Linked DNA regions of Arabidopsis thaliana. The protein of the gene in region 1 interacts with the protein of each later gene in a pairwise test. Each region holds a gene or a part of one and is shown in the gene's direction. Other genes may lie near its edges.

What was found.
Region 2: the proteins of HEC3 (region 1) and FBH4 interact in a two-hybrid assay, tested with the Arabidopsis thaliana proteins (one large-scale study listed by BioGRID).
Region 3: the proteins of HEC3 (region 1) and PI interact in a two-hybrid assay, tested with the Arabidopsis thaliana proteins (one large-scale study listed by BioGRID).
Region 4: the proteins of HEC3 (region 1) and AT1G12890 interact in a two-hybrid assay, tested with the Arabidopsis thaliana proteins (one large-scale study listed by BioGRID).

Annotation. Positions count from the first base shown.
Region 1 is NC_003076.8:3,024,361-3,030,211, reverse strand, and holds HEC3 (basic helix-loop-helix (bHLH) DNA-binding superfamily protein), read left to right. Parts: upstream 1-3,097; 5' UTR 3,098-3,136; coding exon 3,137-3,811; 3' UTR 3,812-4,103; downstream 4,104-5,851. Other genes in the region: HAM2 (histone acetyltransferase of the MYST family 2), read left to right, coding at 5,501-5,807. UniProt on the Arabidopsis thaliana protein: Required for the female reproductive tract development and fertility.
Region 2 is NC_003071.7:17,609,843-17,616,525, reverse strand, and holds FBH4 (basic helix-loop-helix (bHLH) DNA-binding superfamily protein), read left to right. Parts: upstream 1-2,934; 5' UTR 2,935-3,362; coding exon 3,363-3,810; intron 3,811-4,074; coding exon 4,075-4,331; intron 4,332-4,437; coding exon 4,438-4,617; coding exon of another isoform or gene 4,618-4,635; exon of another isoform or gene 4,636-4,730; coding exon 4,731-4,796; intron 4,797-4,880; coding exon 4,881-5,012; downstream 5,013-6,683. Other genes in the region: AT2G42270 (U5 small nuclear ribonucleoprotein helicase), read right to left, coding at 5,678-6,683.
Region 3 is NC_003076.8:6,825,683-6,832,967, forward strand, and holds PI (K-box region and MADS-box transcription factor family protein), read left to right. Parts: upstream 1-3,221; 5' UTR 3,222-3,520; coding exon 3,521-3,775; intron 3,776-4,772; coding exon 4,773-4,834; intron 4,835-4,954; coding exon 4,955-5,054; coding exon of another isoform or gene 5,055-5,090; exon of another isoform or gene 5,091-5,126; coding exon 5,127-5,156; intron 5,157-5,244; coding exon 5,245-5,289; intron 5,290-5,391; coding exon 5,392-5,526; 3' UTR 5,527-5,833; downstream 5,834-7,285. Other genes in the region: AT5G20220 (zinc knuckle (CCHC-type) family protein), read left to right, coding at 1-89; BCB (blue-copper-binding protein), read left to right, coding at 944-1,115, 1,308-1,726. UniProt on the Arabidopsis thaliana protein: Probable transcription factor involved in the genetic control of flower development. Is required for normal development of petals and stamens in the wild-type flower.
Region 4 is NC_003070.9:4,388,841-4,394,516, forward strand, and holds AT1G12890 (Integrase-type DNA-binding superfamily protein), read left to right. Parts: upstream 1-2,830; 5' UTR 2,831-2,893; coding exon 2,894-3,553; downstream 3,554-5,676. Other genes in the region: AT1G12870 (F-box and associated interaction domains-containing protein), read right to left, coding at 1-270; NUDT12 (nudix hydrolase homolog 12), read left to right, coding at 1,196-1,266, 1,411-1,534, 1,617-1,700, 1,792-1,941, 2,024-2,206; GAPA-2 (glyceraldehyde 3-phosphate dehydrogenase A subunit 2), read right to left, coding at 3,794-4,296, 4,384-4,628, 4,706-5,010, 5,204-5,308, 5,402-5,569.

The DNA of each region.
Region 1 (5,851 bases):
AAATGAAAACCCTCGAAGTCAATTTCATATGTGTAATATTCTTCCCCTCAAAAACAAAAGAGAAAGAAAAATAAAGTGAAAAACTCATTAAAGAGTTTTCCATAACACTAACACTTTCGGACCAAACAAGAGACTTCTTCACTTTTCTTCACTGCAGCTTCCCATGCCTTGTAATCACTTTTTTGTAGACTTTTTAGATCCTCTCGCGAAAGAGAAAAAATAAACATGTTTTTTTTTTTTGCTACTCCATTTTAAAAAACTTAGCATCATTACTAATATTATAACACATAATCTACCCTCGTAGTTATAGAAATCAATACAATAACGCATATATATCCTACCTTTTTCGTCTAGCTTTATTTTTCTTAACTTGATATATAGCCAATTTGAAATTTTATTTTTGGATGAATTAAGCCAAGTGGTGAACTGGTGATTACTTATACATTTTCTTTTTTGGTTTGATCATTTTTAATGACCAAACCTAACCGGTGAAATTGGAGTAAGATAAAGTGATATCACTAGATTACAAAGTGTTCAAATTTGGAAAGAAACAACACTGAGTTTTTCTTTGTTTGTTCTTCTCCATGGTGGAAGCAGAAAGAGGAAATCCAAAAAAGAAAGAAAAAGAGAAGTCGCTGTAAGAGACCAGACTCTGAGGAAATGAGGGTGTGGTTCTTTGGGAATCGTAACGCACAAAGACGGAAGATTGTATCGCTATTAATAAAAAGGAGGAAGAAGCACAATTGCTGAAAAAAATAGTTATATATGTATGGCCTATATATATATATAGTTATTTAATGCTTTTTTATGTACGCGATAATTTGGATGAAAATAATGGAGATTGTCAGATTTTATGATTCAATCTTCATCGGAAAATGTTGCATAGTTATTTCACCCACTCACGTGTATATGTACTATATACATTTACACTAGATTCATCTAGTTAGGGTTTACGGTTACACTTTATACACAGACGAAATGGGGGCCGCTTGAGCTGTCACATGTTTAAACCATATCATAATAGATAAGCTAGTGATAATTTGCTTAAAAGAAAACATGATTTAGTAAATCAATTGCATTCAATTTTTGTTTATTACAACTCGGTATACATTTCGAAACATATTATACAAGCTTTATAAACCATTATGATATTTCACATCACAGTTGCAGAAATGTACATACAACCAAAAAGGAAAAAGTAATAATAAAATACTATATGTATTCTAAATGAAATCATAGATTTAAGAAGTAAATTAAATTTATGTGTCTTATATATTCTATTATTTTACATGTTTTTGTGGAAATTTAGAAACTAGCTGTCCAAAATGAATCATTTAACTTTCACATGTATGAAAAATATTAATAGACTTAATTAAAAAACACTCTAAATTTATGATCAGGCAATAAAAAAATTGTTCATTGCTCCAATCCATCCGAATTTGTATTATATAAAATACATGGCAAAATAAAACTTCTTTTAACTAAACTATATTATATTATAAGTCTTGCTCATGACTGTTATATACTTTAATAATATGATCGAATGCTAGCTATTATATTAAATACACAGTTACTCTTTTAATTGCGGTTTTCATTTTAAACCGCTATAAATGCGAAAACTATATAGTGTATACTTATATCGAATCAAATTAATTTCCAAAACTTGTGTGTGTATAAGTAGATGTTCATACATGTAGTTGGCAGTTGGGTGGATTTAATAAGAATATAATATACAGTGAACAATGGATTAATACCAAAGAAGTAACCCTATAATGCATGATTGCAGCCTGCATGCGCAATTTGTATGATTATAATGCAGACCAAATCATAACATATGTGCAAAATATACGCTTATATCTCATATATGTACATATACATGTGTATTTATACATTGCTTTTGTGTTGAGGCATATGACATAAGAAACTTGTCACATTAAATCAGAACCGTCTGATTTTTGTATAAACGGATCGAAACAACGTATATAAATTTGCCTCTTTTGAAGTCTCATAAAATTTCGTGTATTTTACGGATTTGTGTTTGTTTTATACACTTGTATACAAGAACGTTGTTACGTAGATGTGAACTTTGTTAATAAAAAGCAGAAATTGCTTCATGGAAAATGATATATTCACCACCGTCTTATATAAACGAGTCACGACGATGATACACGTCTTTCTTATTAATGACAATCATGGATAACACCCAAATGTTGAAGAAGCTAAGGTGTCCCCATGCGAGTGATTTGATGTTTGTTATCCTTATAAACCTTTAATCACGTCGCAAGTTATAGAATAGCTTTGTGGAAAAAAGCAAGTTGATCATTTGTTTTATAATAATATATAACATTGCGAGTTTCACACACAATTTACATTCAATATTGGACTCCATCGAGGGGAGAGAGAAAATCACGACCGTTGATCGGGATAAGAGTATAGGATCAACAAAATGTGCTATTTCGTGAAGAGACAAGAGAATGAGAGAAAATTTATCAAGATTTCCTATTTTAGTGAATGGGTTTTGTGAAGAGAGAAGGAGATAATTAAAGGGATTGTAAATTGAGAAGTCAGAATAAGAGCACACAAGTGGTGACATCTTTTGTGAATCAAAGAGAAACTCATGTTCATATAAAGTAATTCACATTCTTATAGCTAGTGGTTATTAGTTTATTACTTTGGTGAAAGCCACTTTCTCGATATACCCTAAATTCAAGTCTCAATGTGGGAGAGGGAAACCCTAGCCAACTCAAAACTATCTCATTAGTCAACTGGAGCTGCTCATTAAAAAAAAAAAAAAAAAAGCGATTATGCCAACTATATGTATACAAAAGTGCTACAACGTTTATAAACATTTTCGGAGCATAAAAAAACTTCTTATTCAACTATATACAATTTAATCTTTTTCTTTGGTAACGACTAGTGACGTCCACTTATTGAAAAGATACATATAAATAAAATTATTCTTTATTTTTTCTCCGAACCAAAATCCTTAATTGCATCACCAACCTAACCCCTCATCATATGATCACCTTTCTTTTTTTCCTTTAATATATATATATGCTCACACACACACATATATATATACATATAAGCATCGCCTCAAGCATTAAAATTTTTACGAACCAAACAAACAAAAATTATGAATAATTATAATATGAACCCATCTCTCTTCCAAAATTACACTTGGAACAACATCATCAACAGCAGCAACAACAACAACAAGAATGATGATCATCATCATCAACATAATAATGATCCAATCGGTATGGCCATGGACCAGTACACACAGCTCCATATCTTCAATCCTTTCTCTTCTTCTCATTTCCCTCCTCTCTCTTCTTCCCTCACAACCACCACTCTTCTCTCCGGAGATCAAGAAGACGACGAAGACGAAGAAGAACCTCTAGAGGAACTCGGTGCTATGAAGGAAATGATGTACAAGATCGCAGCCATGCAATCGGTTGACATCGACCCAGCAACCGTCAAGAAACCCAAACGCCGTAACGTGAGGATCTCCGACGACCCTCAGAGTGTGGCGGCTAGACATCGCCGTGAGAGAATCAGTGAGAGGATCAGAATTCTTCAGAGACTCGTGCCAGGTGGCACTAAAATGGATACGGCTTCAATGCTCGATGAAGCTATACGCTATGTCAAGTTCTTGAAACGGCAGATCCGGCTACTCAATAATAATACCGGATATACTCCTCCGCCGCCGCAAGATCAAGCTTCTCAGGCGGTGACGACGTCATGGGTTTCACCGCCACCACCGCCAAGTTTCGGCCGTGGGGGAAGAGGAGTAGGAGAATTAATCTAGACAAGATGACATTTCCATTAGTAGTAACTAAATTATGCTATAATGTGTGAGTAATGGTGCAATTATGGAAAGTGTTTATATATAATAAAAATGGATACGAAATAAGGGTTTGTTAGGATATATAATATATTGTTGTTGACCGTGAAAAGGTTGTGGAATAATCATAACGGTTAGCTTGAGTTGTGTACCACCATATATTTAATATTATGTTATCATTTCGTATATAATAATAAGTTCTTGATTTGGAGTTTGGTTGTATACAAGTTTTGGCCGGGCATTTTTCGGGCATAAGAACCATGACGCCATCAAAGAACCCTATTTAAATAGTGTTATCATTACTGTGGACTTTTGTCTTTGTATACACACAACGCATATATTTGTGAAGTACTATATTTTAGAGCATATAATATGAATGTACTCTATTGCTTCATTTTCATCTTTTTACGTACATACCTCACTTTGAACGTTAATACCTATACATATTGAAAATCGTTTTGTTATGATTAGAATAAGCTTTAAGAATTCCTAAATTACAATAAGCTTTAGGGCTTTTTTTTTAATATATAGCTTCACAACTAGCAACGAAAAATCCAAAAAGAAAAAAGTTGTTATGAAAATAATATCCGTACGTTTAGTCTATTAGATTATACTTGTTAGTATCCGATTAAACATCACCTGAAAACTAAAAAGTCTAACAGACTAAACGTATCCGATTATACTTGTTGTAAAAATGTTAACGAAAAATGTTTAGCTATAGTAACGTTTAGCATAATGAAAATTACGACAATCATCCCATAAAATGATGTTTTGTAATATAAAGTAATCTCAAATTACAACAAACCGATAAGGTATACAGATACTCTACTCCAGAAAGAGAGTATATATCGAGACATATTATAAAGAGGATGGTGCAGAGAAAATGTACTTGCTCGTTTTGTCTTCGAATTAATGAATAGAAGTTCAACTAAAACAGTTGCAAGATCTCTTTTTACCTTCCCAATAATAAAAAGAAAACCTTTGACTACAAACAAGCATTAAACCACCAGAGCTTTGCTCCACACTTGTTGGTCAGAAAATCTCAGAAAAGTAGCAGAGAGGTTAATTCAAGGAAACCTATGCTCCTTGTTCACTTCACTCATGGATACTTCCGCTGACTTTTGTGTCTCCTCACATTCATAGGTTTTAATAAAGACACAATGAAATGTCAGTGAGATTCATGGAAACCTAGCTATATCCATTTTGCTAACGAAATCATTTAATATATTTTCTTTCTTTTTGCCACATAGTTATACATTCATTCACATCCTAGAGATAATTGCAAGAACTTAACGTCTAACCAAATTATTTAGCTCAAACAATGCATTAATAGTCACTAAATAGCCATGGGTATGATTCATATATTTTCAAATCTAATTCGTTTTACTACAGAAATATTTCAATGTGATTCGAGATAATTCTTACATGATCAAACAACTTTCTAATTTTATGAATAAACTGTGATCCCGGTGAAAATGTATGTACTTCACACCATTAAATATCAATATTTTTAACGGCCCATAAATATAGGCCCAATTATGTGAAAAGTTACTAATGGGCCTGATTTATTTCAAGTGTCCGTTTTTCTCTCTCTAGTTCTCTTACTCGTATGAGAAAGAAAGCCCACCCGGGAATCTCCGACCCGACCGAGAAATGGGATCGTCAGCGAATACAGAAACCAACGGCAACGCACCGCCACCGTCGTCGAATCAAAAGCCTCCGGCTACGAACGGCGTTGATGGGTCTCATCCTCCTCCTCCTCCTTTAACTCCTGATCAAGCTATTATAGAGTCGGATCCGTCGAAGAAGAGGAAAATGGGGATGCTTCCTCTAGAAGTGGGTACTCGTGTGATGTGTCGGTGGAGAGACGGGAAACACCATCCGGTGAAAGTAATTGAGCGCCGGCGGATACATAACGGCGGTCAAAATGATTACGAGTATTACGTTCATTACACTGAGTGTATGTCGTTTAATTCCTTATCAAGTTTTGATGTAGGGTTTTCA
Region 2 (6,683 bases), on another chromosome or scaffold:
ATCATGGTTAACAAAAAAAAAAAAAAGAGACTCAATAGCTCTTTTGTGAGCCTGTTCTAATTAAATATTATGAAAACGGGAAAATAGATTATACTCAATCGCATGATTGCATATCTCTTGCGCATGGGGGATGTGAAATGAAATAAATTTGAACCGATCGTTAGCAATAACATAAGAAATGAGAAAGAAAGGCAAAATCAAATCTATTTCGAATATAATTTTTTGTCAGAAACATCAAACATGATCAGATCCCACCGTTGGTCCTTTGTTCAAATTGACAACAAAAAGTATGACTTTTATAAACCAAAAAGAGAGAGATCTTCATGGCAAAACATATCTTGCCCCCAGCACGATTGATTAGTTCCAAATTTAGCAGCCCACTCGAGAAAATTAAATAAAAAAGGAGAGAAACACTTGCTTAATATAGAAGTTTCTTTTTGGAAGAAAATAAAAATAGTGAAGCCCCCTTTTTGAGCTTGTTGACATTATAAAAGCCAAAGCTGGACCACGATTCCCCACTTCTATCAATGTAATCTATTTTTTCTTAAGAACATAAAAAGATTTTTAAATAAATTGATGGGAATCGTTTTGTTTTTTATATTTATACTACTATCAAACAGTATAAAAAACAAAATGTACACAACAACATTGAGAAACTAATGGGGTCTCACGTGTCCATGTTCCCATCCACATAGCCACGGACGGGATTTGCTTTCTAATTTTCCACATTTCTTTAGGCCAAACCTTTATAAATGGCACTTGATATTTGCTTCTTTAATTTCAATCTCTTTTTTTTTTTCTTTTTTTTTTGGGTGTTTTTCCCGTTGTATCCATTGCATTTAGAAGAAAATTGTTGAGACCACTGATTTTCTTCGAAAAAGAACTTCAGCAATGAAGAGTTTGTTTTATGCACGTCTTTACAAAAAAAAAAAAAACTAAGAGATTATGACCTGCATTGAAGTGAGAGCACTTGAGAAAACTTGTGTGTGATGATTTGGAAAATAGTTGTTATAGATAACTAATCATATATTGGTATATATGGATTCCTTTGAAGAAATACTGGTTTGATTTGAACAAAAACATTTGTTACGTATGATTAAACATACTTTTCATTGCACGGTGATACGAAATTTTGATTCAGTTGAATTAGATCAATGTAGTTTTGAGTTATATTTTTTATGTTTGCCCATTCGTTAGTGATATAAAACAAAGTATCATCAGTATATAGCTAGTTTCGAGATAGTATGTACAACTTTTAAATATTAATTACCTATGCTTAAATAGTAATAGTATTATGTATGTGCATGTGCTTTGTACATACAATTTTGTCTTCTTGTTGATTAATTATTAAACAGCTCGAAGTTTTAAGACTATGTAGCTTAGCCTATGTCAATGTCATCAATCTATATGCAATATATATAGAGCCTCAGGCACATAAACCGTAGTCCCCATATAAAAAAGGGAATGAAACAGCTAATAACTCCATAGAGAATAAATTCACATTCAAAGCAAATTCACCACCCCAATCTTCTCAATGGTTCGGTTTCTTTTTTCAATTCTTACATTGTACTAAAAGCTAAAAATTCAGACTGATACGATACGAATAGGTTTTTGAAAATATAAAAATTAATCAATTTCCATTAAAGGGCTGAATAGCTAAAAACTCCATAGAGAACAAGTCGCTTTATTGGATTTAGATTTTAAAAAGACGGCGCTCGTGAATTATTAAAGTTTAAACTAAGATAAGATTTAAAGAGATTTAGAGGAGACGTAATCTGGTGTATATCGTTCACATAGAGTCACGTCACTGTATAATCCATCGACCACTAAGGTTTTAGAGTTTAGTTTCAAATCTTACTTTTTCATGCAGGTGTACCGTATGTCACACAGATTATAGTAGTCGCCAACTTACGTTCCCAATGGGTGATAACGGCGTCAACGTCCTCCGTCACGATCGTGTCGTAAGCTGTACACTGTATAGGTTCCGTGAACCTTAAAATCGGATTTGGAAAGCTACGTACGTACGTAAATATTGGTTAAAAAGTTCAAACAGTTTTGATCTCTCTTTTATTACAAACAAACTGTACTTCCGACAATTTTCTTTCTTTCTATTTCAAGTACGTTTTCGTGTCTAACTATATTAACATCTAACTTCTGACTTTTATACTCTGATGGGACAATCTTTAATTCTTAAATTCTAAGTTGTACCATGCGAATGGATATTAGATTTTGTCAGTACAATTGCTGACTATGAATGAAGTACTCTAACATCATTATTGGTTCCTGAATAATGAGTACTTAAACAAAACAAATTTGAAGTAACGTAACCATGACATATTAGATCCATGTCCCCTAAAACGTATTAAAATTATTTCCTTACGTCGTTAAATTTCGAATCTAGTGTTAAATTGTTACATTGGTTGTTAAACTACCGACCCAATAAAAAAAAAGAAACTAATATTTATGATTGGTGCATCTTGTTGTAAATTGTAATCGTATGGCCTACCAGCGATTTCATTGTCCCCAACATACAGATATTTTTGTTCGTGTGTTATAAATTAGGGTAGAAACATCACATATTTTACAGAGACAAAGAAAAAAACAAGAATCGTAATAAAATGATATTATGGATACATGTAGATTATAAGATGAGAAATAATAATTTGTCACGGGTCCATCAGTATACTCGTCAAAATTGATTAGGTAGGTAATTTACTTCACATGCTCTTCCTGTATACAAGTATAAAGTATGTATTTTCATCTAAAATCTACTCTTTTCTCAATTACATTTTATATAGAAAAATTCATATTCTTAAGAAATAGTAGTAAAATTGTTCTTGAAAAAAAATATGAAAAGGCATTTTCCGTGACTCAGCCTCACAGGCGGCTTAAAACGACGTCTTTTTCAATTTTAATAAATTTTTGGTAAAAAAGCTTTTGGATCCGCCGCTATCTTCAGCAATTAAAGTTGGACGCAGAAACTCAGAAGCAAAAAGACGATAAATATTCATCATCACCTTCATCTCTCTCTTCCTCTCATCAGACTTCACCGTTCTTCTTTCTCTCTTCTTCATCTTCAGACGAAACCTCCTTTACTTCCCCTTCAAGGTTTTATATTTCCCAAATCCTACACCTGCTCACATCTCAAGCTCAAGTTTTGTTTTCCCGGGAAAAGTGACACAAACAAGAACTTAACAAGGGAGAAGAAAAAGCTTATATTCATATCAACGGTTGACGTTGGAAAGCTATTAAGATTTGGTTTTCTACAAATTTGTTCTTCCTGAAACGTCACGAGACAGAGCTTACAAGAAGAGAAAACAGAGGAAATTTCGTTGCATTTTTTTTACATATTGATTCGATTAATGGATTCAAATAATCATCTCTACGACCCGAATCCCACCGGGTCGGGTCTTCTTCGTTTTAGATCAGCTCCGAGCTCTGTTCTCGCCGCTTTTGTTGACGACGACAAGATTGGTTTCGACTCCGATAGGTTGCTTTCAAGATTCGTGACCTCTAATGGCGTTAACGGAGATCTGGGTTCACCTAAATTCGAGGATAAGTCTCCGGTTTCGTTAACGAACACCTCTGTTTCATACGCCGCCACTCTGCCGCCACCGCCGCAGCTTGAGCCGTCGAGTTTTCTGGGTTTGCCGCCGCATTACCCGAGGCAGAGTAAAGGGATAATGAACTCGGTTGGTTTGGATCAGTTTCTCGGTATCAATAATCATCACACCAAACCAGTTGAATCTAATCTTCTCCGTCAAAGCAGCTCTCCAGCCGGAATGTTTACTAATCTCTCTGACCAAAACGGTACCGTTTTGCTCTCTGCTACAAAGTTTTTCCCCCTTTTTTTAGTCTGAAATATTTTTTTCATTTATAACAGAAGTGTTTTTGGTACTTCTTGATTCAACTTTTTTGAATGTTTTAACACTTGCTTCAAGATTTTTGAATGTTTTACGTTCCTTGAGAATAATTTTAAGACAAGATCTGATTTGATTTTGTCAACCATAGAGTTAAAGCACTTTGGACTCAACAAATCTAATAAGTGTTTACTATATACTTACAAATTTGCAGGTTATGGTTCAATGAGGAATTTGATGAATTACGAAGAAGATGAAGAGAGTCCATCTAATTCCAATGGATTAAGACGCCATTGCAGTCTCTCTTCAAGGCCACCTTCTTCACTTGGAATGCTTTCTCAAATACCTGAAATCGCACCCGAAACTAATTTTCCATATAGCCATTGGAATGATCCATCCAGCTTTATTGATAACTTATCCTCACTTAAAAGAGAAGCCGAGGACGATGGAAAATTGTTTCTCGGAGCTCAGGTAACTCGGTTATCTAACCGGTTTGTTTTGGTTATTGATCAGTAGCTGAAAGTGGAGTTGATTTCTTGGAGTGGTTTCTAATGATGTTTTTGATGGGTTTCTACAGAACGGAGAGTCCGGGAATCGTATGCAGTTACTGTCGCATCATTTGAGCCTACCAAAGTCATCATCGACAGCCTCGGACATGGTTTCAGTGGATAAGTATCTTCAGCTACAAGATTCTGTTCCTTGTAAAATCAGAGCCAAACGTGGTTGCGCTACACATCCTCGAAGCATCGCTGAACGGGTAACTTCACCTAGTTAAGGCCATCTTTACATATATCAATGGAAGTCCATTTGAAGCAGAATCTAGTTTGTTTTCAGAAAGCCTTTCCTAAGAAATCTTGTCAATTGTGTCAGGTAAGAAGAACGCGGATAAGCGAGCGAATGAGGAAGTTACAAGAGCTTGTTCCTAACATGGACAAGGTACAGTTTTCAGGAACTTCCTTGTAATGACTTTTGATCATAAACAAATTGTTAAATGATGTTGTTTTCTTTATGTTTTAACAGCAAACCAACACTTCGGATATGTTGGATTTAGCTGTGGATTACATCAAAGATTTACAAAGACAGTATAAGGTAAAGTTCCTGATCATTGTGGAAAAAAAACAAAGGGGCCTGTTTAGTCTTCTGTTGAATTGATTTAGTCTTCTGTTGGTTTTACACAGATTTTAAACGACAACAGAGCTAACTGTAAGTGTATGAACAAGGAGAAGAAGTCAATATAGGGCGCAACAAAGTGTGTAGTAGATAGGACTAAAAAGCAGGGAGAAGGACAAGAAAGAAACAATGTCATGTCTGAATATTTTTTAGCCGAAACAGACCAAATTGTCTATGTAAGCTCTCGAGAAAAGCATCTGCTTCCAACAAAATTCTAAGTAATAAAATAGTACTCGATTTGTTCTTATTTCATTATTACAATGCAGAATCTACTAATCAAATGTTGTACTACAAAAGGTAAGATCAACTACGGTAGCTAAATGCGAAAATTATGACCAGAAGAACAAAGAAAGACTCGAAAACTAAGCAGAAAACATAAATTATTCTTCCATGTGATCTGCAGCGTCAGAATCTTTGATATCACCAGTAAGACTACTCCTGGTCACAACCAAAGTAAGAATCACACATGAAGTAGAGTGTATACGACTTCTCTCCTGGTTCAGTTGGTACTGCAAACTCCAGCTACGATGCAGAATCTAGTAAGCAAATGTTGATATTACAAAAGGTAAGATCGACCACAGTAGCTAAATGCGAAAATTATGACCAGAAAACAAAGAAAGACGCGAAAACTAACCAGAAAACATAAATCATTCTTCCATGTGATCTGCGGCATCAGAATCTTTGACATCAACAGTGAAAGAATACTCCTGGTCACAACCCAAGTAAGAATCGCACATGAAGTAGAGTGTATACGACTTCTCTCCTGTTTCAGTTGGTACTGCAAACTCCAGCTTCACCTGCGCCTTCCGTTGCAGGGAGATTCTCTTGATGGCCATCAACTGGTTCGTCTTGGCTTCTCCAACGACTAGCCACCAACCTTCTTCTTTAGTCTTAGGATATCTTGGCGCGTCCACAGGTCCCACCTCGGTCCTTCCCTCCATGTCTCTCTCCAGTAATACCTGCAATGTGATATCTTTTCCAGGGCTTACCTCGTTACTTCCCACAATCTCATATGTAAGGTCAATGTTGGGGAAGCGGTTGCAGAATCTGGCAATGTCAAGAAGCTGAGCGTCTGACATTTGGAGAAGCTCTTGGCGTTTGTCATCTTCCATTTCCACAAGATCAAATATGGTTTCAATGTTATTCCCCGGATTCTCATGGCACCTTTTGGCTAAGTCCTTTGTGAAGTGAGGAAGCTGCAGAAGCATGGAGTCTCGATCCCACATGCCTTGAGTCACCATCTGGCTTACTTCCATAGCTAAAAGAGCAAGATTCAGACAGCCATTGCTCGATATCACATCGACCATTGCTTGAAGAAGCCTTGTTGCTGATAAAAGGACCTCACACTGATCCATTACAAGGTTCCCGCTGATTTTTTGCCTTGAGAAATGCGCCTGAAGAAGTGCGCTTGTCTTCACACGAGGGTCTGTGCATCTTGGGTTTTGAAAAGAGAACCTCTGGTGATTGATGAGTCTCCGAACTGCGTCCTCTTCACCAGGACGTATAGGAATCAAGTCATACTCCGAAGCTGAAGTCAAGATCTCAAGAAGACCCTTCATCTTGGTCTTGGAAGCCAAGAGAGAACTGAATCGCTCAATGGTGGTGTAATTTATGTAGTAATATGACGCAATCATACCAAGATTGAGAGGAGAG
Region 3 (7,285 bases), 3.8 Mb from region 1:
TCTGCAAGAAAATGGGACATAATGTAAGAACCTGTCCAAGTAAACAAGTTTCAGACAGTGATTCTTGTTTAGAGCAAGAAGGTTCTTGAACCTGTTTATTTGGTTAGGCTTGGTTTTGCTATTGAAGCTGAAATAACCAATCACTGACAAGTCCTTTTTAGCGGATGGATATTTCGGGTTTATAATCGGACCAATCACTTGAGTCCCGATTGGTCTTTTTTGAACTATCTAAACTCAAACAAAAACTGAAGTGAGTTTGACCGCTTTTGGTTTCGGGTTATGACCGCATTCGTTTACGTGCAAGTATATATACTTGTTGGGTTGATTTTTCTTGAATACGACCTGAATTGGTACAACGGACCCATGCAAAGAAAGACAATCGAGCCTAGAAATTTCTGAACAATTATCGACTTATCCATATAAATGCTATAAACACCTAATATCTCATCCATATCCACATTTAACACTTTGTTTTTTCTAACATTAGTATGCTACTATTCTTCGATGCCTTAATATCGGATGGTTATTATTAGGTAGTTATATTTAGTCTGAACACTAAATTTTATAATCATTACCCAAAAAGTAATTAGTCACGTTTTTTACTTGATCTAAATTTACAAATGTACAATGTCTTTACGCGCTAAAAATAACAATTGTGGACAAAAAAAACTTAGCAGACAAAATTGACCACAAGTGATAATATCTAAATTTGGATTTGTTCAACGACACAACACGTAACGCGTCTTCCCGTATCTTGCGTATGACTCCTTGAGAGCCTCTCTTTAATTGTCCTATAAATATAAGTCTCTCTTGCAAGACTTTTGAAACCACAACAAACACAAAAATCAAAAGGGGTCATTTACTATCTTTTAAGAGACGACATATATAGTTCTCGACCAAGAAAAGAAAAGGGGGTGACCTGAGTTCTTCAACACATAACATAATGGCCGGAGTTTTCAAAACGGTTACGTTTCTTGTTTTGGTTTTCGCTGCCGTTGTTGTCTTCGCGGAGGACTACGATGTTGGTGATGATACGGAATGGACGAGACCTATGGACCCCGAGTTCTATACTACTTGGGCTACCGGTAAAACTTTCCGTGTAGGCGACGAGCTCGGTGAGTTTTATTGTTCTTATAGCTGAAATATGTCTTTGTTTTTCTTGTTCTTATAACAGTCATAGTTATGGGATCGTGCATGGATCATGTCGGTGTTGTTCTGTCTTTCTTTCTATATTCTTATGAACATATTTTAGCTAAAAAAGGGATTAATTGAGTTTCCACCGACTGATGTTGATATTCTTATTACAGAATTTGATTTCGCTGCTGGGAGGCATGATGTGGCAGTTGTATCAGAAGCTGCATTTGAAAACTGTGAGAAAGAGAAACCCATTAGCCACATGACCGTTCCTCCGGTCAAAATTATGCTAAACACCACTGGACCACAATACTTTATCTGCACCGTCGGTGACCATTGTCGTTTTGGTCAAAAACTTTCCATCACTGTAGTTGCTGCTGGTGCAACTGGAGGTGCTACTCCTGGTGCCGGTGCTACCCCAGCACCTGGATCAACCCCAAGTACTGGAGGAACCACTCCTCCCACTGCGGGTGGGACCACAACACCTTCAGGCTCTAGCGGAACCACTACTCCAGCTGGAAATGCCGCTTCCTCATTAGGTGGTGCTACTTTTCTGGTCGCTTTTGTTTCTGCTGTTGTTGCTCTCTTTTGAGTCACACTCGAAACCTAGTTATGTATTTGTTTTACCTTACTCTCCTTATTTAAATAGTCATGTATTTGATTATTTGTGAGAATAAGGACTTGTTTTCAAGTCATTATAAACGTCTTATACTTGTGATTAGTATTGAGTTTCAATATATGATTATTCGGTTGCAAAATAAAGAGTGGGTTTCAATATCATTGAGATTACTACTATATATTACCATATTTCATGAAAATTAGTCATCTTCTTCATCCAATTTGTCTAGTTTTCATGTATAATTAGACAAAATTTGCCTTCTCAATATTTTCAATCAACGAGTAAACATTACCTGATTGTGAACCGAAGTTAGAATAATATTAAAAAGACATAGGTTATCTACTAATTCAATATACCAACAATATGGTATTTTTGTTTCAGTGGATACGTTTCTCACCTGAATTCACAACTTTTTTTTTTTTTTTTTTTTTTTTTTGTGTGTGGAGATTTTTAATCTCTGGCTTTATAGTTTGATAATCGAGAAAATGCCAAAAAGTATGCCCGTACTAAGTACAAAACATAAGACCACAAAATTCCACAATAAATTGACACGTGTCTGATCGACGTGAATCAAGAAAACCATAAACTTGTTTTGTTTTCAACAACCAAAGACATTTTCCCCATAACAATGTAAGCATGATAAAGTCTAATGGTTATACCAAGGTCTTTGGTAATTACACTGCTCCTTTTTCTTTTTTTTTTTTCCTTTTTCTAAACCATCTGAATTTAACTTTATTTTATTTACTTCATTTGTCAATGTGATATCTTCAACTTTCAATAATTTAATATGTTTGATTTTTTAGTGTAGCTACGATATTCGATAAGACCTATATATGACATAGAGTTCTTGAAATAGCAAGTCTTGGTTTTGCCAAAGTAAGAACCTGTAAAAATAAAAGCAATTCTTTACAGAGATTTTTGGTTTTAAATCTACAAAGTTGCAAAACTCGTTGCTTTCATTTGATTTAATGGTTAGTTTTCGAGATAGACAAAATGGGAAATTTATTTGCAAAATGATTTAGTTGCAAAATCATTGGGACACTATCTTATTTCACGTTTTATATAATTGATGACATAATAAGATAGTTTCCCAAAGTAATTAATTGATGATATATGTGGTTGGATAAGAAATTATGGTATTATCATGTTTGCCTCTCAAATTTAAATTTAATTAATTATATACATACACGAGTAAGCTAAATAAAAGTTTGACCACATTTCATATGAAGAATTTTATCTTTCCAGATATCTAGAATTTGTTTTCTCTACACAGTTCATTGAAGAAAACATAGTACGGAAGAGACCAGAGGTTAATTAAACGACACTTTAACCTATCACGAGAGAGACTGAGATGATCAAATCAAATGAAAGAAAATAAACATCAATCACATGCAAAGAGTGTTCATTAAGCAAAATCACTAAGTTTGTTTTTACTTTATTTTATTACGTTACTTCAAGTTTTTTTTTTATCTTCTTGGTACTGTAAAAAAAGGAGAGAAAATAGAGTTGGCTATGTGTAATAAGCGAACCAAAAGCAAGCCTTCCATGACTGTGCCCTCAAGAAAGTAGCTTTGTTTTCAATCCCAAACTGTCAAAGTCTCTCTTCACCTCAAGATTAATCAAAACATTTCTCTCTCTATCTCATCAATGTTACTTTAAAACCAATGCTCCTCTTCTTGTTCTTCATATAAACCACATATCCTCTCCTCCATATCTTAACAATTTCATAGCAAACCCTAAAATTGAGAAAGAGATAGAGAGAGAAAGATGGGTAGAGGAAAGATCGAGATAAAGAGGATAGAGAACGCAAACAACAGAGTGGTGACGTTCTCAAAGAGGAGGAATGGATTGGTGAAGAAGGCTAAAGAGATCACAGTTCTTTGTGATGCAAAAGTTGCCCTCATAATCTTTGCAAGTAATGGTAAGATGATTGATTACTGTTGTCCTTCCATGGATCTTGGTGCTATGTTGGACCAATACCAGAAGTTATCTGGCAAGAAACTATGGGATGCTAAGCATGAGGTAATTTTGCTCTCTTTTTAATCTAAAGTTTCTTTGTCTCAAAAATATTCCATGGCCAAAATCATGTAATAAGTTTTCAATTTCTTTACCAAAAACATGTCAAAAGACCCTTGAATCTTTAACCCTAGATGCAGATCTACTATAGTGTTTTGTCTCAAAAACATATATTCTGAGCTAGATATCATGAAATTGGTTATTTAATTTTCTTTTCCTAAAATATGTCAAAGAGAAAGAAAAATACTCTAACCCTAGATGCAGATCTACAAAGGTTTCTTTGTGTATGTAGCCTAACATGCGTCTTTATTGATTTTCTTGTACTCAACAAGACATGGAGCCACAAAACATGGAAGTTATTCTTTTCTTTTGTTCCTGCTTAATTTGTATAATCTAGAGTATATCTAACCAACTGTGTTTTGAAACCATCAAGACCAAATCTTATGCGAATCAGATCCGTAGTTTATGGAGTTATTAATTGAGAGAAAAATCTGGGATGTGATATGTATCTGGGAATGAGAATTTCTGATTAGTACACTGATTTTACGTTTCTGGCTTTCAAAACTAATTGAAAACTTGAAAATTGCTTTTGAGTTTTGAGTATCCTTTTTAAATTAAATTTTGATGCAAATATTATATGTATTATTAATTAGCTCTGACAAATGTAGGTTTAGTTCTCACAAATGAGATATATCTCTATAGGGTAATAAGCATACAGAGGCTTTTATACCATTTAAGTCACTGCCTAGTAGTATTTGTGCATGTATATCTGTGTATGCTTTTACATATACTAATATCAATATATATACATATATGTGTGTCAGTGTGTGTGTGTGTGTTATATGCTTTGCATGAAACATGAACATAGAGAGACTTGTCATGGATTGCTTCTTTGTATATCTATATTTATGTTTAGTTTGTACAGATTACTAAGTATTTTTTTTGTTTGATCTAAATTCTTAAAACCTTTATTGCTCATCTAATACATATTTTTTGTCTCCAGAACCTTAGCAATGAGATTGATAGGATCAAGAAAGAGAATGATAGCTTACAACTGGAGCTCAGGTCATTATTCTTCACCCTTCATTGCCATATCTTTACCCTAGTATAGTATATATATAAAACATTTGATTATAATAATGTTGAAATATCAAATTGAGAAGTTCATGGAAATTGTGACTACAGGCATTTGAAGGGAGAAGATATACAGTCTCTCAACTTGAAAAATCTGATGGCTGTCGAGCACGCCATTGAACATGGCCTCGACAAAGTCCGAGACCACCAGGTATGTATACATTTCTACATACATTCATACACATGAATATATTTAACTTCTTATTTGGTCTGCTTGGCACAGATGGAGATCCTTATATCAAAGAGGAGAAATGTGAGCATATAACTAATCTTATAGTACTCTACTTCTTAGCTTTCGGATTGAAATATGTATTAATGGTTGCATCATTCTTTCTTAACAGGAGAAGATGATGGCGGAGGAGCAACGGCAACTCACTTTCCAGCTGGTATACATATAATGAATCTTCATGCATTTATAAGTTTTAATAATGATTTGGTTTGAAACTATTAGTATGTTTATGTAAAGATATGGTTTTTGGAAATTGCAGCAACAACAGGAGATGGCTATAGCAAGCAACGCAAGAGGAATGATGATGAGAGATCATGATGGGCAGTTTGGATATAGAGTGCAACCGATTCAGCCAAATCTTCAGGAAAAGATTATGTCTTTGGTCATCGATTGATCATCGAGATTTTATAATCTCATCCTGATCAACTCCTATCTATAATATCGTGGTCTTTAGTTTGTCTTTATCAATCTGTGTGTCTTAATCTCGAGCAACATATATACTCGCTATCAGACTTTTTACTTAAGCTATATGTGTGTTGTTTGCTTATGACCTCTATGTATTGGTTGTGTTGTGTGCTTAAACGTTTCGAACTAATTGATCTGTGTGAAACTTATTATTCTGTGATAAGCTATTTGTGATAAAGAAGAAGATCCTTTTCTCTTTCTAAAAGTTAGAATTGTTCTCTAACTAATTTGGAGAGAAAAAAAAAAGAAAAAAAATTGGAGTAAAATAAAAAGGTAAACGTAAAATGTTATACAATATTTTGTCTGGATACCCTTCAATAATTTTACTTTGAATAAATATGTCTTCATACAAAGAGGTTATGGTCGTAAAAATTAAAAAAATGTGGTTGAACTTTATATCTTCCCCCTTCAAAAGCCTGTATTAACAACCTTTTTTCTTAAGAAACTAAAATCTAAAAAATGTAGAAATCAGCCTTGGCCGCTCTTCTTTAAGGCTAAAGAGAATGGTGTTTATGTAGGTTATTGGGTTCTGACTAGTGACTATATTTAACGATATATGGGCCCTTATCCATTGTTGACCCATAAATACGTTTTAGTTAACATGTACAAAGACAACTTTGTAATCACTCAACCAATATTCTGCAGTTTAATCTTGCTTTCATAAAATTTCAATATTCTTTAGCAAAAAAAAAAAAAAAAAAAAACAATTTCAATATTGATGGTGACAGAGAAAATTCATCCTCAAAACATTGCTCCTAATTAATTGATATATGAGACGTGTAGAGGTTTGAAAATTTACCATGGCTTTTCGTGATAAATTGGTGACACAGAAAATCGCCAAAATAGTGATGGTAACTTGGTCAGGTGGCTACCTCTTAACCTCCAAATGACTGATTGGAGAGGAAATATTTTGGTTAATCCCCTAACAAAATGATGATGAATAATTTTAAAAATACAGTTTTAACAAAATAAAAATAAAATTATGAATATGTGTGATGATAAACATTAATAACCTGACAAACCCTTATCCGCCAACTAATGTATAATGAATGGATAAACCCATAGGGTCCAATTGGACAACAACTTTCTAACTTTTTGTTCTCTCAAAATAAAATAAAGACAAGTTGATTTGCTTTCCCAATCACTTTCTGAACCAAATCACTTGCTGCAAGCGAATCATGAATCGCCGAACATTTCGTTTTCTGTTATTATGAGTATAACAATGAAAACAAAGAAACAACAGAAAGAAAAAATCAAATAATTCGTTTTCGTGTAGGCGTGTAGCACTCGCTCTCTCTATTTAAGATTTATTTTCATACAATGAGTTTTTTTTTTTCTAGAAAACCATGGGCACTTGTGGGGCTGTAGTGGGGGCATGCAGCCGCACATTGCTCAATATCTGTTGAAGCAAGTTGATCTGCGAAGATAATATTGCCACTTGGTATATGAACCTTCTGTCCATTGCACCGCACCCAATTGATTTTACACTTTTCACAATTCTATTCAAATTATATTCTTAAGTTTTGATACATTTCTTCTTAGGTAAAAGTTACAGAAGAACCTTTAAACCAATACTTGGGTTGGGAGTTAGGACATTGACATAGATTAGTTATAACCATATAAATTATATAGATGACAATCCCATTTATTAGAATGAGAAGAGGAGATATTAAAAGTTGAGAAGAAAA
Region 4 (5,676 bases), on another chromosome or scaffold:
GATGATCATGACTTTTGGATGATCCACATGTGATCGCTCGGCTATTTTCAAGTGCCTCTGTGAGAAATAGCAAGACTCGAGCGTCGATCTCCATTGTTTTGAGAGAGACTTAAATCTCATTAGGGCTTTGACCGGAAGTTTCAAGAAGATTTCTTCTACGACATCGTCTGGTAATGATGATGATGCAATCATTAGCTTCTTGTATCTTCTCTTTCTTTGTGATGATGATGATGATGATACAATCGCTTGCTTTTCTTCATCCATGACCATTGTTTTTCTTCTTCTTATTGATACGAGTGAATTGGTTTTGTCTTTTTATACACACACTTATCTCCAAATTCTACTCTGTTAAGGATTGATAAGGATTAGCCGGTTATGAAAAAGGAAGTTTATCATCCCACAAAATTTATGTTTAAATTAAAATAATAGAAAAGGAAATAAAAGCCAATTTCGACTAAGGAAATGGAAATACATTTTTTTCAGAAACAATTTATTTATTCTCTAATTTGAGTGATTTTAGCAAAAACGAAAAAAATACAAGATTTGCTAACAAACAATTCTGATTGGCTAAAACTAAAACCAAGACCCAACAAAAAAAAAAAAAAAAGACACTAGAAACGAATTGAAAGTTTGAACCTATATGAATTCGGTTTTCAGCAGTCTTGTTTAAAACACGTCTCAAGATAAGTTTTATAGAATCAATTATCGAATAGTTCTTCTCTATAGTGGAGAATACTCGTGAGATAAAACAGTAATAAGTCAAATACAGAATCAGATCCTTTTAGTGACTTGCTTCGAATTTGCGTTCTTAAGGTTCTTCTTGTTTTTGAGCTCTAACAAAAATAATTTATTTATTTTCATGTATAAATATTAAAACTGATTATATAGAGAGACAGGTGATAGTTAGCAGTGAATGCTCGTTGGTACAACTCCTCATTCTTCTCCGCAAAAATAGCAAGTTATTTAACAAACAAAAAAATTCATATAAACGATTTTATTTTTTTGTGACTTTTGAGATTCGTTAATTCTGGAAAATTTGTTTATTTTCAAAACAAGAATATGGATTCGTCATAAAAGCTAGGCTATGATCAACATGTTTCATACAAACAAGAACAGGGCTTTTCAAGAAAGTAGCATTCTCTGTTTCTGTTGTCTCAATCCCTTTTGATTTTTTTTGTGTTGGCAGATTCATCAAATGTCGGTTCTTTCTTCTCGGACAGGACGAGATCGTCAACGTTACGACAACAACTTCCGTCTCGTTTCTGGGTACCAACAACTTACACAACAAAAAATCATTTTGTTTTGTTTTTTTGTTTCTTGCAAATCTTGAAAATTTTCAAGAAACCCCAAAAATCAGAAAACAAAATTGTTGATTTTCTTGTTGTTTGTTTCTCTATACATTATGAACAGATGCATTCCTTATAGGCTGATGAAAGCTGACGAAACTGAAGAAGACTCAGGTGTTGACTTTGTAAACAAACTTGAAGTTCTTATGGTTTCATCTCCTAATCGTCATGATCTTGTCTTCCCAAAGGTCTTTTTTTGAATTGAAAAATCATCCTCTGTACTATCATTTGTAATTGCTCATGTTAATTTGTTGTGTATATTATTATCAGGGAGGATGGGAAGATGATGAGACTGTTCTTGAAGCTGCTTCTCGTGAAGCCATTGAAGAAGCAGGAGTTAAAGGAATACTTAGAGTAAGTTTACACCTTTATTAAACAAAACACTAAGAAAGCTATTTTAAAGTTTTTTGAATTAGATGTGTTTTGGTCATGTTTTTGTTTATAGGAACTTCCTTTAGGAGTTTGGGAATTTAGAAGCAAAAGTAGCACAGTGGAGGATGAATGTTTAGGTGGATGTAAAGGATATATGTTTGCATTAAAAGTTACCGAAGAACTCGAGGATTGGCCAGAGCGAAAGAATCGTGAACGAAGATGGGTAAAGCTTAAGATTCAAATGTGTAGTTATTCATATAAGTAAGTACAATGTTTTAACTCTGAGATTACTCGAAAATGTGCAGTTGACTGTTAAAGAAGCGTTGGAGCTTTGTCGGTATGAGTGGATGCAGAGAGCACTTGAAGAGTTTTTGAGAGTAATGGAAGATGAAAGAAGATTGAGAACAGAGGAAGAGACAGTGCATGATTCTTCAAAGCTAGAGGAGGAGAGTCAAATAGATCCTTGGTACTGTTTTGTAGTTAACTAGTTTTTCATATTCTTTAGCTAACGTAAACAAATTGAAAAAATGAGAAGTAAAGTGACTGCAACACATGTGACATGATATAATCTCAAATCATCTGTCTTGAATCTTGATATCTGTCTGTTTGAAGTGATAAAGATAGAGTTGTCTTTATATGCAATTGGGACACCAAATGCAAAAAGACAAAGGACATAGAAGAAATTACCTAATCACACACAAATCAATGCTTAAGGCTTGACTTCAAAATCAACTGAATACACTTAAGAATCCAAATCCCTAAGCTTATGTCACATGTTTAGTTAGGTTTCTTGACATTTGTACAGTTTTTGTCTGAGTCTATAATGACAATGTCCTTGTCACAACTTGGCTTTGCTCCATACATTCCTTAATATGAATCACCTCACAGACTAAAGTGTGGAAAATATTAAGCAAAAGGACAAAAATAGAGAAAATATGAAACACTTCCTTGTTTCTGCTGACACAGTTTACGAAGGAGAAATAAGTCTTTGGAGTTAAATTTTTGAACTCCCAACAGTTTCCTTAAATTTAATGCCAAATCCAAAAAGGCATCAATCAAGTTCACACACTCTTTTGCTCTTCTTACTCAATATAGAGTTTATATAGCAGCATAAGGAACCTCAAAGCTCAAGAGACTTAAAGAGAGAGAAACATTGATCTCTGAATATTGTGAACATGTTGAAATCAAGTAACAAGAGAAAAAGCAAAGAAGAGAAGAAGTTACAAGAAGGGAAGTACCTTGGAGTGAGGAGACGTCCATGGGGAAGATATGCAGCTGAAATCAGAAACCCTTTTACTAAAGAAAGACATTGGCTTGGAACGTTTGATACAGCCGAAGAAGCTGCTTTTGCATATGACGTTGCTGCTCGATCCATCAGCGGCTCTCTAGCTACAACAAACTTCTTCTACACTGAAAACACCTCTTTAGAAAGACATCCACAACAGTCTTTGGAGCCTCATATGACTTGGGGATCTTCTAGTCTCTGTCTTCTTCAAGATCAGCCTTTTGAAAACAACCATTTTGTTGCTGATCCTATCTCTTCTTCTTTTTCTCAAAAACAAGAGTCTTCTACCAATCTCACTAACACTTTCTCACATTGTTATAATGATGGTGATCATGTTGGCCAAAGCAAAGAGATTTCTTTACCTAATGATATGTCAAACAGTTTATTCGGTCATCAGGACAAAGTCGGTGAACATGACAATGCAGACCATATGAAGTTTGGCTCAGTTCTCAGCGACGAACCTCTCTGCTTTGAGTATGACTACATTGGGAATTATCTTCAGAGTTTTCTCAAAGATGTCAACGACGATGCTCCACAGTTTCTTATGTGAGCTTGTATTACCGATCCTTCAATTTATGTAATATAAAAAGTATTGTATCTTTCTTTAGTGTCAAATGCATTCCCAAACCAGAGTTGTGTATTAAGCAGAGGATGTAATATGTTTGAATCAAGTTTATTACTATAAATTATAGAGCACAAATACATAATAAACTCAGGAACTACAATTATACATTCCGAATCATGTAACAGTAAAAAATAATGGAGCAGACATCAAGAGGTTGTTGAGTCTTCACTTCCAGTTATTGGCAACAATGTCAGCCAAATCAACGACTCTCTGTGAGTAACCCCATTCATTGTCATACCAAGCAATCACTTTAACCATATCATCTCCCATAACCATTGTGAGGGAAGAATCAATAGTGGAGGATACATCAGAGCACCTGAAGTCAACAGAGACAAGAGGCTCATCACAGACGTCAAGGATACCTTTAAGCTCTTTCTCAGCTGCATCTCTGAAAGCAGCATTGACTTCTTCAGCAAAAGTTTTCTTGGAGACTTGCACGACTAAGTCAACCACTGAAACGTTTGGAGTTGGCACACGCAATGCAATTCCGTTAAGTTTTCCTTTGAGGTTAGGAAGCACAAGAGCCACAGCTTTGGCTGCTCCTGTAGATGTTGGAACAATGTTCAAAGCTGCTGCTCTTGCTCTCCTTAGATCACGGTGGCTCGCATCTAACAACCTTTGGTCACCAGTGTATGAGTGAGTAGTTGTCATTGTACCCTTTATGATCCCTAACAAGTTTAACACACAACACAATATTACTCAGATTTTTACAAGATTGCAACATAGCAACATTTGACTTTCAATGAGACGCTTACCAAATTTCTGGTCAAGAACCTTGACGAATGGAGCGAGACAGTTAGTAGTACAAGACGCATTGCTGATGATCGTATCTTCATGGCTGTAAAGTTCAGCATTGACACCAACGACATAAGTTGGGATGTCACCTTTTCCAGGTGCAGTGATAAGAACCTTCTTGGCTCCAGCCTGAAGGTGCTTCCCAGCACCGTCTCTGTCAACAAACACTCCGGTTCCTTCGATAACTAAGTCAATGCCTAGTTCCCTAAACATCATCACCAGGTTTAGATCTAACTGGGTTGATTCAATTCAAATGATATGAGAAGTGTTGTTTTAACTTACCCCCAGGGGAGATTAGATGGGTTACGATCAGATACAATCTTGATGATCTTTCCATCAACAGAGAGAGCTGAGTCTCCTGAAGGTTTGACATCAGCGTCAAAGATTCCAAGAGTTGAGTCGTATTTGAGGAGATGTGATGCTTGTTTAACACCACCAGTGTCGTTAATGACAACGACATCAAGAGGAGAGTCCTTACGACCATGCCAACACCTCAAGAAGTTCCTACCAATCCTACCGAACCCATTGATGGCTACCTTTATCTTGGCCTCGGTCACCCCTTTCCTGTATCCACCATTGCTTCTCATCTACAACACAGAGACAGAAAAAAAAAACGTATATGGTTAATCATGGCTGATCATGCCATGCAGCCTTGTTCATCATGGATAGATCTACAATGGTGGCATTAGACACAAGAAACAGCTCTTGAGTTTACAAGATTGCACCATAAGATATATAACACAGGAGCAATAGAGAGGAGTGGGTGAAAAAGGAACTCACTGCAGAAGTTTGGAAACTGACGAAGGAAACAAACTCATCGGAAGAAGATCTCTTGGCAAAGGGAAGAGCAGAGGAGTTTCGAAGTCCTGAGAACTCAGAAAAACCCTGAAAAAGTAAAACATGAGAGTATTTATGAGATGATGATAAAACTTGTGTGAAGGGCAATCAGATAATGTGGTTAGGAAGATGAAACAAAACCTGAAGAGATGGTTTGGCCACAGAGAAAGTAGCCGAAGCCATGGCTACCAGAGAGAGAAGCTTGTTGTATGATGTAAGCAGAAGAGGCAGAGAGTTGTAATATAGGAAAATATGAATTGCTGAGTTGGAGGCAAAGAAGATGAGATTCTGGATAGCTTTGTCATTCATTTGTATGGTTGTGGTTTTATCTCTCTTCCCTCTTCACGTTTTCTATGATTCACACATATTTTTGATTTTCTCACTTGGGCTTCACAAGTGGATGGGCTTCTCCATCA